2 linked regions of the Astyanax mexicanus genome follow. The protein of the gene in region 1 interacts with the protein of each later gene in a pairwise test. Links are inferred from orthologs where the notes say so. Each region holds a gene or a part of one and is shown in the gene's direction. Other genes may lie near its edges.

Evidence for each region.
Region 2: the proteins of fkbp8 (region 1) and zfyve27 interact in binary tests that used the Homo sapiens proteins (3 or more experiments, as listed by UniProt). The link is inferred for Astyanax mexicanus from reciprocal best matches to the Homo sapiens genes FKBP8 and ZFYVE27.

Annotation. Positions count from the first base shown.
Region 1 is NC_064423.1:22,602,608-22,609,877, reverse strand, and holds the start of fkbp8 (peptidyl-prolyl cis-trans isomerase FKBP8), read left to right. Parts: upstream 1-4,255; 5' UTR 4,256-4,388; intron 4,389-6,529; 5' UTR 6,530-6,540; coding exon 6,541-6,811; intron 6,812-7,270. UniProt on the Homo sapiens protein: Constitutively inactive PPiase, which becomes active when bound to calmodulin and calcium. Seems to act as a chaperone for BCL2, targets it to the mitochondria and modulates its phosphorylation state.
Region 2 is NC_064428.1:35,476,320-35,484,016, forward strand, and holds the start of zfyve27 (protrudin), read left to right. Parts: upstream 1-4,693; 5' UTR 4,694-4,889; intron 4,890-5,972; 5' UTR 5,973-6,009; coding exon 6,010-6,218; intron 6,219-6,692; coding exon 6,693-6,763; intron 6,764-6,924; coding exon 6,925-7,111; intron 7,112-7,233; coding exon 7,234-7,329; intron 7,330-7,572; coding exon 7,573-7,685; intron 7,686-7,697. UniProt on the Homo sapiens protein: Key regulator of RAB11-dependent vesicular trafficking during neurite extension through polarized membrane transport. Promotes axonal elongation and contributes to the establishment of neuronal cell polarity.

The DNA of each region.
Region 1 (7,270 bases):
CAGCCTGCCTGGCTTTCTCACCGGCCCGGGGCACTGAGGGCGTGTTAGTGTATGAGTGTGTGTATTTGAGAGTGTGTGTGTGTGTGTGTGTGTGTGTGTGAGTGTGTATGCTTTTCTCTATGGGTGGGACTGTTCCAGAATAAAACTCACAGTGAGCTGCTGCTGCTCAGCGCCAAGGCTGGTGGTCTAAATTCAGTCATAGTTTGTTTCTTTATTCTCCTTTATTCTTTATTTCGATCGTCTCACGCGGTCGGCAGTCGAGGACAGAGGTGAGGCTGAGGTCAGTCGGCCCGTCTGACTGCTGTGTACATTCTGAAATGGAAAAAGCTAAACTGGTGATGATGCATCGGGGCAAAAACGGTCTCCTCATGATATATTTGTATATTATTGATTATATTATTGTTCTGATTTTCATAATTGATATTGTTATTGATGTAGTCATGATTTTACGGATATTTTCCTGTAAAGGGCACATTTGTATCTCAACGACATCGAAGACAGAATAAGCACACACTCAAGAATGCACAATGACACCTCTGTTTACATGATTTTAGGTATTTGTTTGTCTCTTTTTTTTTTTGGTTTTGTTTTCATGTCGATTCGTTTTGTTGGATGTCTCCTTGCATATATATACCTCTTCCTGTGTTCTTCATGGAACTGATGTCATCACTACCAGAGTACCATTGTAAAAGTGTACTATCTCAGTATTGGAGTCTGTATGAAATCGAAGGCTGTCTGCTTGTCACACGAATTACAATCACTGTCAGCACTGGACCTGAAACATTTGTAGAATATTATATCGCATCCTCCCAAATGTTCTGTAAAATTTTTTCCTCACTGTCATTTTTTCCGTCATGCCTGATCTGTGTGTTCATGTGTTGTCTTTATTGCGTTTCTACGTTTCTATCATGTAGCATGAAAAGCGTATTGCAGTCACTGTCAGAAGGCTTTTACTTCAGCGTAGCTTTAAAAAAAATTGCTCTAATCTTGCCTTTTCAAAGCATCCCAACTGTGTGATTGGTTCATTTAAAACCCCCTCACCTCTGTTCATTGTTGTAATATCCCTGACAGTTACATGTAAGCTTGTCATTAATGTTTCTTGTGATTTTGGAATCATGTATTGATTTTGAGATGATTTTAAATCCTACCCGAATGCCTGGAGGAGGAGCGGCCGGGCTTAATTATAATGGGGGGTAAAAACCCTCCTCAAGGCTGTAAGGCAGTTGCTCATTTTTTTGGTTGTTTTATTTTTTATTTTTAGTCCCATGCCTGTAAATACAACCTATTTCGCTTATTGGTCATTCAATCTCATTTGTATTTTCAATACACTACTTGTCTGTGAATCTTGTGTGGTTCCATCTTTTTCCTTTTTTCCTCAGAATCGAATCCCGGGAAGCCTCAGTTAGGACTTTTTTAAGCTTGCTCACTCATCATCGACTGTATGGAGATTAGCAACAACCTAGTCAAACGGCCATTCGTTCAAATTGAGTGTGCCCATATTATATCACTGTGCTTCAGATACTGTTCACTTTGCTCTTGTTGCTCTCTGGTTTAGTCATGTTTAATTGGATTGGACCTTCACTGAAATTGTTGTTTTCTTGCCCTGTGACCCTGTGGTATCAACAGCGTGTTTCTCTCCAATTGACAGCACCAGGCTCACCCTGTAATCAGATTACAAAGAGCAAATAGTCACTCCAAGTGCTCTCCAATCTGTCTGGTACACAGCCCCCATACCCCTCATCCCTCACCCTAATCCCCACATCCCATCCCCTGTCCCCAGCCTTTGTTAATCCCTGCACCTTTTGATTTTATTGTAAATACTGTAAAATGCATTTTGATATCATTGACATGTTTTGATATGTCAGTCATAACCAACGAGAACAGCTGAAAATAAGTTATAAAGAATTTGTTTTGTGTTTTTGTATTTTAAAGAGATGGTTTGGTGTAAAGTATCAGATTGAGGGGATCGCCCCTATTGCATAAGATAAGGAATACAAGAAAATATTTTTCTGAATTAATACCTCAAAAAGAATCAAATTTAAATCCACTGTAAACATTTGTATCTCTGGTGGGATTCACAAATACAGCAGTGTGTTTGTGAAGGAAAAACATTTTTGAGTCTGAAGACAGAGCTGTATATAGTTTTCAAGAGGACAGAGAGAGAGAGAGAGCTAACAGATTAACACATAATGGCACTTGCGGCAAGTGACTTTGATATATGCAGGCCTGTATTCACATAGATTGACCCCAATCGATTAGATTGCAATGTAGCCTTCCAAAGAACATCCTAATTGTGTTGTTTATGGTCCCTGTTAACTGCAATATTAAATATCAATCATCAAATTGATGCACCCTACCCATTTCACAAATGCAGGCCAATCTAACATCAAACCAAGGGACCAAAAGGGCACATAATTAACTTGAAGGTCTCTTAAAAACAAATATACACGTTGTCGAACACGAATTCGGATTTGCACAGCATAACATTTAGTGTTAAAACAACACTAAGTAGACTGATTCTCCCTAATCCTCTCTCAGTCCTTAATTGTACAATTGTTGGCCATCTCTGTACTTCTATTGTGATGTATAATACTGTAACATTTGGAGGGATTTGGAAAAGGCAGTGTGTGTGTGGGAGGGGTATATTTGGCGAGGGTGGGAAGAGAAGAGATTTTCCTGTACCTTTCATTGTCCTTTCTGGCGACACGACAGTATTCAATATGAAGCAGTCTGTCTCATTGGGTTTGCTTTGTATTTCATGGTAGGCTAGTTTGGATCTGTGTCTTAGGGACTTAGGTGTCTTGTGTAGGTAATAAAGATGTCCTTTGTATGTTACTTTATATTGTAAAGTTTCTTTAGACTGACAGAAAAAAAAGAAAATTTGCTTATCAAAAACAAATGGCTGCATCAATAATAAATGTAATTTGATATTTTCCTGTCTCCTTGTGGTGGTTAAATGAGGACTTTTATTTTGACATGTATCTGAAAAAAACGTTTGTGCTCGACTCAAATATAAACGTCTTTCTTTAAAAGGCGTATTATAATATTGGATTTTAGCTATTATTGATAAGTGAACATAATGTAAAAACATAAAGACTTTTTGTGGAGTGACCTGGTGCCATATGAAGCAGAAGTGGTGAGTTAAGAAAGTAAAAGTCCTCCACAGGATTTTGAGCGGACTGCTTGGACTACTTAGCTCACACCAGCAGAGGAGATTAATATCAAAGGATTATAAACACTTACATTACAATAATGACATTTATCTAGAGTGACATACAGATGTGTTTATTTGTCAACTCAGAAAGTCCAAATATACCTTGGCTTAAGCTTAGGTATGGCAAGTTACAAAATTAATTATTGAACACTTTACACTTTGTTTAAAATATTGAGCTATGCAAAAATATTAAATATAAAACATTGTGTCACTATTACATTTAACAATATGTTCTCATTTTAATACGATAAACAATTAAAAAGTTAATCAAAGATTTATTAAATTGAGGAAAAGTCTAAATATGTATTTACTTTTATTTTTCTAATATTAAGGGCTATGTTCCTAATTGAATATAGGTGAAAACTATCCGTTTCAAGGAAATATAAAATTAGTAATTTTACTACATATATACAGTATATACACATATATTAGTATTATCAATATTGGCTGTAATAAGTATCCTCTACTTTACACAAACATCAGTTCTATACACCTTTTTTGTTCTTTTCCTACAGAGCCTCTAAATGCAGAACGCCCAGACTGCACTTGAAGAAGCCATAGTTCTTTGTTTTAAGTGAATTGAGTACTGTTTTGTTTATGTCAGTGTTGATTAAATAATGATATGATATTGTTTAATGTTTTTTTTTATAATGTCTGATTTACATTTTAAATTAATTGCCCACCCCTGCTCTCTAATGCATCATTAGAAAAATAATATTGACAGTCCCCTAATCCGTTTTCTCATTTTAACAAATCATTCATTAATTTAGTTGAAGAAACAATTTATTAAATCGACTAAACCTTTCAGGACTCATACTAACATAATAATAATAATAATAATAATAATAATAATAATAATATATATATATATATATATATATATATATATATATATATATATATATATATATATATATATATATATATAACGAAGGAAAATACTTAAATACTTAAAAGTCTTAAAATATTTTTTACCTTGATGTTTACCTTGATCCGTAGAATCTCCGTATTTTCCTTCGTTTTGTAACGGGGACTTTTATTTTGAAGTGATTAGGACAGCCCCTGTTCTGGAAGAAGCTGTACTGATTGTTTTGCTGTCAAAGTTGCTGGTCGTGGCGGAGCTGTGGTTCCTCCTGGTTCATGGTTTAGTTTACAGGGATTTCTGTAGGCTGGGGTGAGTTCTTCACGCTCTCTGAACCTCTGTGTGGGTCAGTAGTTTAGGAGAGAGGCGCTGTAAGCGCTGAATGTAAATACAGGCGAGTCTCGGGTGAAGTTCGGGTCAGGGTAACTCGCTGCTGTAGCATCAGAGCTACTGCTACTGCTGCTCATAAACTTTACAGAAAGTTCCAGAAAGACTTTTCTCAGGGCTGCCAAAACACAGCGAGCACAGAACGGCGTTACTGAGCCGCGGTTCTGTTAGACTGTGACTGCGGGTAAACGGGGAGTTAACTTCTTAGCTTGCTGGCTAACTGGCGTTAATGCAACTAGGTGGTGGTGGTGGTGGAGGTGGAGGTGGGATTCCCCTGGTGCTGTTGGTTTAATGCAGCGGTTAAGCTAGCTAGCTTAGCTAACGTTCACGTTAGCCACCTGCACAGCGAGCTGTAGTGACTGAGTTATCTAACCTGGGCCGGTCAGTGAGAGAGACCCTGTGTTAGAGAAGCTGCTGGAACAGATGGTGCATCATCTACAAGCCTTTATTCTACTGTCCTCTGTGCCCTCTACAGCCTGGGTGAATGTCATTGACCATAACAATCCCCCTTGTGGTGATTAGGTAGCTGGATATGGTGGTTAGCTAGAGATAAATAACTAACGAATTTTCCAGTATAAATGTAATTTAACCAGCTGCTTGAATGGATGTGAGCTGTATAAACAACAGTTAGCTAGATAACCAAGCTAGCTAACCTAGTTAATTAAGTCTGTTAAAGCCAAATAATGGCAAAATAACTGCTAATATACACCTTTGGAATAAAATAAGAGACAATTTCAAATTATGTGGGTTTTTTTATTTCACCAAATTGAAAACCTCTGGAATATGAGCAAGAGGAAGATGGATGTTCACAAGCCATCAAACCAAACTGAACTGCTTAAATTTTTGCACCAGGAGTGGCGTAAAGTTATCAAATAGCAGTGTGTAAGACTGGTGGAGGAGAACATGCCAAGATGCATGAAAACTGTGATCAAAAAACAGGGTTATTCCAGATATTAATTTTAGAACTCTTAAACGCCATTTCTCATTTTCTGCAGATACATGCTCTAAATGACAATATTTTTATTTGTAATTGGGAAGAAATGTTTGTAGAATAAAACAACAATGTTAATTTTACTCAAACATATACCTATAAATAGCAAAATCAGAGAAACTGTTTCAGAAACTGCAGTGGTCTCTTATTTTTTTAAAGAGATGTAGTGCTAAGTGAGCTTACTGGATACTTGTGTGTTCAATGGTTATATTAACAGGATAAGCAGAAATGTGCTGCCCTTTCTTAGCTAAATAATAGCGTTGTCAGTAATGGTTCCTCATGCTGTGAGCTTTTTAAGGTCATTCACTTGCTTCCTTTGGACGTTGGCAAGCAGACCATTTAAAGCTGCTGTTAATCATTAGCTAGCTATCAAAGATTACAGAGAATGCACCAATCCTAATCTAAAGGATACCACTGCTGTCACACACAAACTGTCTTTCAGGCTTTAGCTTTTAATGACAATCAATGGAAAGAGCTTCTGTTACAAGTTTTGTTCCTTTTAATGGGCAGTTCATCATTAAATGTTAAACAGACTAATGGAATACAAAGAACAACTGCCAGATTCACTAAAAAGTAAAAAACACAATAACATGAAAATACAAGATTTTTGTGTGATGGTTGTATATACTCCAAAAATTAGAATATCATTTAAAAGTTACTTAATTTCAGCAGTTAACTAAAACTCGTACATTATATAGATGTATTACACACAGAGTGATTTGTTTTAAGCATTTATTTCTTTTATCGTTGATGATTTTGGCTTACAGCCAATGAAAACCCAAAAATCAATGTCTCAGGAAATTAGAATATTATAGACCAATTGGTACTGTTGGCAGTGTGCCAATTCCTGCTGGAAAATAAAATGAACTAAATATACATTGTTTTATTTTTGCAAATAATTTGTTAATTCAAATGATTTTTACTCTTATTCTTAAAAGTACCATTGGTTGCCTACAGGTAAAAACCACCTACTGTTATAGAGCGATTTCTTGTTCCATTAAAGAATCAAATACTAATCTGCAACACAAATTTGGTCTGAACCTTTCATCTTATTTATTTGTCATTACTGTTGTAGATCAGTAACAGATGGAAGACAAAAACAGCATACCTGTGAATGGCTCCGGTGACAACCAGGACTCTTCCAAGACGAAAAAGTCTGGGCGAACCTCTCTGTTAGACAGCGGAGAAGATTTTGAGATGTTGGAAGATGTTGATGATGGAGTAGATGATGACCTTCCACCATTAGAAGATGCAGGAGGAGGAAAGAAACAGAACAGCCAGGCAGAGACAGCTAAAACAGAAGCCGTTACAGACAACAGTCCTTCTCTTCCTCCGGAGGAATGGCTGGATGTGTTGGGTAAGAGAACTTGTTTTTGTTTTGAGGTCATGTATGAAATGGATAAAAGTACAAAAGTATACTTAATATGGAAAAGTACATACTTTTTAAAATTAAAATATGTACTTAAATACAAACTAAATGTACTATTTTGGAACTACTTATAGCAACTTAAGTGTATCTCAGTTGTAATTAAGTTATATTTAAACACAACATAAAAGCGCTAAATTGTACTTTTGTGAGATTTGGTAGATTTAATTATTTGCTTTTGTAATACACTTGAAGTATATTGTAAATGTACTGCTTGGTACTTTGTATTGATGCATATATTGTGTACACCTTAATTCTACTGGGAAAAATACACTAAGGTGCACTTTAAGCAGTATTTAATGCCACTATGTATTTTATTATAATTATTATAATTAAAAGCATATTGCCTAAAAATACATTTTATGAAAATACTGAGAAAGTATATTCAAT
Region 2 (7,697 bases), on another chromosome or scaffold:
TAGCGAGATTCGCGCGACCAAAGCCTCTCTGCTTCACCGGTGACAACAGATCATGCGTGAAAAAAATAGTTTCGCTCGGTACACGTACAGTACGGCGCTGACCAATCAGAGAGCGCGGCTTCGCCCTAATCCCCGCCTTTTGCGCTAATTCGCCCAATCAGAGCGAAGCTGTCTGAAAAAAAGGGACGTGTCGTTTTTCATTGACGTCAATGCTGTTGTTCAGTGCAGTGTGTGAGAACGTCAATAGCGTGTTTTATCTCTGTGTGGAGACCTTAAAAACCAATTATGCGAGCAAATACTTTGAATAATTGCTTTAAAGAAGGGTAAAATAAATAAAAACGTCTGTAATTAGATGTTATTCTCGTGTATCGTCTTGAATTTCAACGTAATGACGTAAAAAAACAAAACAAATTAAAGCTATTTTAGGCATTTTTCTTAAAATAGCCTAAAAAGAGCACATTATTGTGGGTTTATCTCATTTAAAGTAAAAAAAACACCGTTATACATGATTGTACAGTAAATATATATGTATATATAAAGTCATGCAGCTTTATATTGTACATCCTTGTATAGGTTGTACAAAGTCATGTGCTATCAATCAGCACCGACAGATGTCGCTGTGGTATTTTCTCTCTTTATGTATGTATATGATATAGAATATCATTGAAAAGTTACTTTATTTTATTAAGTAATTCAGTTCAAAAGGTGAAACTCTTATATTATATAGATGTATTACAGTATTACACACAGAGAGATCTAAAATTCTAAAATTAGATTAATATATTAGGCCAGTAGGTGCTTTTGGCAGTGTGGGCAGTGTGACAAGTCCTGCTGGAAAATGAAATCCGCATCTACATAAAATTTGGCAGCTGGAAGCATGAAGTGCTGTAAGATTTTATGGGAAAACAAAACTGCACTGACTTTAGACTTGATAATAAAACACAGTGGATCAACACCAGCAGATGACATGTCTCTCCAAATCATCACTGATTGGTGGAAACTTCACACTAGACCTCAAGCAGCTTGAACTGTGTGTCTCTCCACTCTTCCTCCAGACTCTGCTATGGTATGGTATGGACTTCATTTTCCAGCAGGACTTGGCACACTGCCAAAAGTACCAACTGGCCTTATATAATATTCTAATCTTCTGAGACACTGATTTTGGGGTTTTCATTGGCTGTAAGAAAATAGTATGGAAGCCCATTTCCGCCACCTGAAGAAAAAAAAAACGTCCTCAACTAAGTCATAATTATGAGATAGAAAAGTCATAATTATGGGATAGTAAGTCATAATTATGAGATACTAAGTCATAATTATGAGATAGTAAGTCATACTTATGAGATAGTAAGTCATAATTATGAGATAAAAAAAGTCATAATTATGAGATAGTAAGTCATATTTATGAGATAAAAAGTCATCTCATAATTATGACTTTCTATCTCATAATTATGACTTTTTTATCTCATAATTATGACTTTTCTATCTCATAATTATGACTTAGTTGAGGACGCTTTTTATGGGCTTCCATAAAATAATCATCTACAGTAAAATAAAAATATGCTTAATATAGTTCACTCTGTGTGTAATACATCAATATAATATATGAGTTTAAAATTTTTTAATCCCTGTTTTTGTAAATGCTCGGCTACATTGAAAATGAGGGTTGCCCTCAATGTACCCCAGAGTCAAGATAAAGGTTGATTGACTGATTGATGGAAGAAGACAGCTGCAAGCAGTGAACGCTGCACAGACCACGCTCTTAGTGTAAACAGCATGGATCAAAAACAACGATTGTTTATAGCTGTGGTATTTAGTGTTATATGCCTAATATATCAGATTTAACTGCACCTTATTAGCAGTTTAGCTCAAATTAAACATACCCTATACTGAGTATATAAAATCTGTTTCACCACTTTGCTGTATTGTCAAGCATGATAGTCACATGCCAGTCACTGATGAATTCAATCAAATCCTTACGGCAATGCTGCACAATGTAGTAGAAAGCCTTTTTGGACAGTAAAAGAAAGAAAAACCCTTTTAAAACCCTTCATTAAGCTGGTGTCCCAATACTTTTGCCCATTTAACAAAGAAGCAATGCAGCAAATTCAACAGTGCACCTTCTGCAATGCACAATCACTCATAGAAATACATTAAAATCATATCATTACTAAATATTTGATTAACACCAATGATTGGGCTTGTTTTTGGGCCCATTTGCATATTGCATTTACATATGTCTCAATAAGACTGCATATAAATCATATAGTGTAATTAACCTATAGTATTTCAACTATATATAGCCTTCAACTATATTATTTTTTTGAATGATAAACACAGAAGAGCATGACCTAGTATGTCTTGCTAGTATGTCTGGTTTACCTGTTACTCCAATAAAAGCAAGATAAACTCTTTTTAAAACCCTTAATTAAGCTGGTGTCCCAATACTTTTGCCCATTAAACAAAGAAGCCATGCAGCAAATTCAACAGTGCATCTTCTGCAATGCACAAATAGCTATAGAAACACATTGAAATCATATCAAAACTAAATGGTGTGTAATACATCAATATAATATATGAGTTTAAAAATTTTTAATCCCTGTTTTTGTAAATGCTCGGCTACATTGAAAATGAGGGTTGCCCTCAATGTACCCCAGAGTCAAGATAAAGGTTGATTGACTGATTGATGGAAGAAGACAGTGTGTGTGGTGCTTTTCCTGGCGGGGGTGCTGAATTCTAGTCTACTGAAAGCCGGAAATGTTATAAATCTTCACTTCAGAAGCTTGGCTGTATTTGTCCCTCCATCTTTTCCAAACTAGACTAATATGTTGTTTATTTTCGTGGACTAAAACTAGACTAAAACTAATAATAACCAAAAGACTTAAAGTTGACTAAAACTATTATAAATTTTCAAAAGACTAAGAAGAAAACTAAATCAAAATCACCTGTCAAAATTAACACTGGTCCAACCCCACCCCTTAGCTTTGTGCTGTAGAATAATAGGGTAGTAGTAGAAGCGGTGGAGCTCCATCCAGCATCTAGTACCTTTGGAATGGGTAGAAGCAGAGTTGATGATCCAGAACTAATCATCCTTCATCAGTACCTGACCTCACTAATGCTCCAGCGCTGACCTGAACACATTAAATCCTCACAGCAGTGTTATTACAGCACATACAGCAGCTCTAAAGCCTTCCCAGAAAGTTAAAAGCTGTTTCTAAAGCTAAGATAGGACAAGCCTGATACCCCTGATATGATGAGAAATGCTGATGTCTTTAGGTGTTAGGATGTGCAGGGTACGCTGTAGTCCGGTGTGTAAGGCCGGGGGGAATTAAACAGGGTGATCTCATTATTCCCTGGAGGCTCAAGGTTAGCTAGCGGCGAGTTCAGACTGTTAACTCCTGTTATCTCCTTTCTGGAACAACAGGGAGCTTTAATTCAGATCAGCTTGCACGTCAGACGTTAGGTCATAGTCCAGCGTGTTTATGACAACATCAAGTTTATGATGGTTATAATCCCAACTAACATTTTAACAAGTTAACTAACAAGTTTGTAGAAAATGTTTTGTTTGTAGAACATTCTTACAACGATAGATTTGAATGTTTTATGTGTTTTTTGTGATAATTCTGTTCTTCTCTGGTGCATTTTGGCATCTAATTTTAATTTTATTGACATTGGAACACAAATCAACAGCTAACAACTACCTAGATACCTAGTTAACACATTAGTGCCCATTCCACCAGTAGAGAAATTACACATAAAAGCAGCTTACTCTTCCCTAATTGGCTGAATCTTATTTTTACAGTCTCAGTCTCACTTAAAATTGTTACGTTATTTTTAATAATTAAAAAAAGGAACTCAAAATGAGCACAAAAAAGCACAAACTCAAAATATTTTGTGCTTGATTCAAGTCTTACTTTACTTTAATTTGAGACTTTGCAATGGTTTTTATATAAAAATCTTACCAAGAAAAATGTGGCTTAACCCTTTGGCATTTTTTGGCCTAATATGTCTTAATTTACACTTTGTCTAGTTTTTGCCAATTAATTTTTTGCAGTACATTTGCATAGATTTGAGCTTTGCTTAAAAGTTTTCGTGAGACAGCATACGGCATGGTGGCTTAGTGGTTAGCATTTTTGCCTCCCAGCACTTTGTGTGTGTGTGTGTTTAAAGGTGTGTATAACTGTGCGCCCAGATATGGTTTGGCACTCTGTTTTGGGTTAATGCTGTAGTGCTGGATGCAGTTCTCCAGGTGGACGGTTGTTTCCGGTTAAGAGTACGCTGTCCGCAATTGGCTGCCTCTTCTCACCAGAGTGTGGGGATGAGGGCTGAGTATAAACAGTTGTGTGAAAAAACATATAAATTGTAAAATGTCCTTGGGTTTCTAAAAAAAAAAAAAGGCGTTGTATAGGTTTAACTTCAGATATGGGCAGTTTACTAAAATTTGACATAAGTTAGTAAGTTAGTTGAGGTTAAGAGGTGTGTTTATTGTTTGTGAGCTATTTTATTAGTTTATTATTGTGTTATGAAAAACATTTATGCAAAAATTGTGAAGATACATTGTGTATTTGTAAATGTTGAGATGTAATGTTTTTTGTACTCCTCTGAATAAGCAAATGTTGCACTGTTCATATCGACTGTATCGGTGTTCGACTGTAAGCCCTGATCGCGCTGTGATCCCGCGCTCGGTGATCTGCTGGCCGGCCTGTCTGTTACGGAAGAGGCTGGCAGCAGCAGCTGTGGTGTTTAGATTCGGTTTAATCTGAATTCGGTTTAAATTAACCGGATTAATTTAGTGTTTAAAGACGCAGAGCCGCGGTGCTGCAGTGTGGAGGAGGCGGGGAGAGTTAGGAGCTCAGAAAACCCGAGTTTAACCGATTTAACATCTGATTACGGTGAGAAATCAGTGAACAGGGCACTCCTACTGTTTACTTTCTTTAATTATTAATATTAATAATATTTTACACTTTATAAAGATATTTATATATATTACTGACTGTCTGGATCGTTATTTATAATTTTATTATTATAAGTGTTTAGTGTATGGTCAGAAATGCCTGATATGTTGATGTTATTTTTTTACTTGGCATTATTTATAGTTATAGATTATGTGATTAATGGATATTTAAGATGTCCTGACTTATCATCTGTCTTATTATTCTAAATAAGCATTTATAACTACTATAAATGTTTATTCTAAGGTGAGAAATGTGAGATAAGGTCTCTGTGTGCGTTTAATCTTTTAAATTATTAATATAATACACATTATAAAGTTATTTTTAGATATTTCTAATTCTCTTTGTCATTAATTAGGGTTTTATTATTATACCGGTTTATGTTAAGGTGGGAAATATGTGGTTATTTATAGTTATAGATTATGTGTTGTATGGATGTTTGAGATTTTCTGTTTTATTATGTATCACCTCTTATTAATAATGTTTAGTGTAAGGTAAAAAATATATGTCGATTCTGCTATTGTTTATTTATCTGCTATCTTTATTTATGATATAAAAAATATATATTCTTTGTAGTTAGTAATATATTTATAATTTAAGTGATGATCTGCATTAAATATCTAGATTGTTTTAAGAAGGTTTAGTGTGCAAAAAAATCATGGTACAAATATCTGATGTTTTATATATGATATTTTAAATTAAATTACTAAAAAGATACAGTGTGTGAAATGTGCGTACATTTTTATTTTATATTTATATAAAAAACCTTGTATCTCCAGGAGGAGAATACCTTCTCAAACTTTAATTAGAAGTCTATGTGAAAAGATTTTATTTCAGGTAATTTATATGTACATTATTAAAACATATTGACAAATTAAAGCAAGTTCTGTGGTGTTTCTCCTTATTAAACTAAATGTATGTAGTGCATTAAGAAAGGAATAGCTCTTAAAAAGATGCATGTACAAAAATACATATTTTAAATGATCATATTGGAATAAATTAGTAATTGTTTGTTTGTTGCAGTTCTGCAGGGGAAGCTGAGAGTGATCTGTAGCTGAGAATGCTGGACGTTGTCTCGGGCGGGGGGGATCGGGGGGACGCGTCTCAGTCTCCGGTTAAAGACGCCTCGTCTCTGGACTCCAGCTCTGAGTCAGGGAGCTCTAAAGCTCTGAACTTTGACCTTCTCAACATGGTGGTTTCCTACAAACGCATGGCCATTTTTCTGGAGCCGGTGACTGACGCGCTGGAGGTGCTGCGGTACCTGCTCGGGTCAGTGCAGAAAACAAATTCTCCGCTATACTGTCAGAAAATTAATATTTAACTGTGCAATTAGAATCTGAGCTTTTAGTGTACATAGAAATGGGAAGTATAATAGGAATTGGAATTATAACACTAAAAAAAAGTAATTTTTAACAGTAAAACTGAAATTGTATTTTTTTATAATAAAATATTAAGTTATTAAACAGAATGTTTGGGATATATAGTATAAATCCAAATGTAAAAAGTTTGGATTTGTGCATAACCTTTAAGCAATTTTATATAAAAAAAAACTATTATTCATATTAAGATAAAGAGGAAAATGTTAAGAGAATTGAGGAAATAAAATACATTTTAATAATAATTTATAAATAAATTTTTTAAACACTAAACATAAGAGCCACATATTCTTATTCTTATTAACTATAATAATATATAGATATAGATACAGTTTGTGATACTGAGCTTTTGTCTGTGTGTCTGTAGATGGAGATTACCACTGTGTTCTCTGCTCTGCTGCATCCTGCTGAACATCCTCTTCATCACCTTGAGTCAAGGTAAAACACACACACACACACACACACAGACACACACACACACGGGCAGAGAAATAGACACAGAAACACAAAAAAATGTCTTGAGTAATGTGTAGCAGTTGTATTTATAACGTATTATTATAGTATAATCTCTCTCTCTCTCTCTGTCTCTGTGTGTTCAGTGGCGTGGTTCTCTGTGCTACTGTTGGTGGTGTCTGTGCCGGCTGTGTTGGGGTACGTTGGTGAGCGCTGTCATGGCGATGCGAGTGAGACGGCGCTGCAGAAGAAGAAGCATTACGCCGTTCAGCGCCGAGAACTGCAGACCGTCAACATCAGCCGACAGGAGGCCATGCTGGAGGTCAAGAGCCTGTGAGTAGAACCTTTACCAGAACACGGATACACTGAGAACAACTGTGTGTGTTTAATTGTTTGATTTGTTTTGTGTGTGTGTTTAATTGTTTGATTTGTGTGTGTGTGTGTGTGTGTTGCAGGCTAAAGCAGCTGGACGATCTGTTGACTCAGGCGTGTGGGTATGCAGAATCTGTCTATAAGGTCTTATACTGGGAGAGTCATGCAACTTCTTCTGTGTAAGTAACACACACACACACACACACACACACACACACACACACACTTATTCTACTCTGGACAGTAGAGGCAGTTACTTCAACAAAAGCAGGATAAACTCTTTTTAATACCCATGATTTCATTAAAAACTATTTACAGCAAGCAGATGCCCCATTACTTATGTCCATATAGTGTATTTATTATTGTGTGGGTGTGTGTGTGTGTGTGTGTGTGTCTGTGTCTGTGTGTGTGTATATATACAGGTTTTACGGGTTTCTGCTGATGATGGTGTGTTTGCTGTACTCAGCTCCTGTGGGCTGGAGTCTGTCTCTGGTGAACAGCGCCCTCTTCCTGTGGAACCGTGACTTCTGCAGGGGTCAGTCCTGAT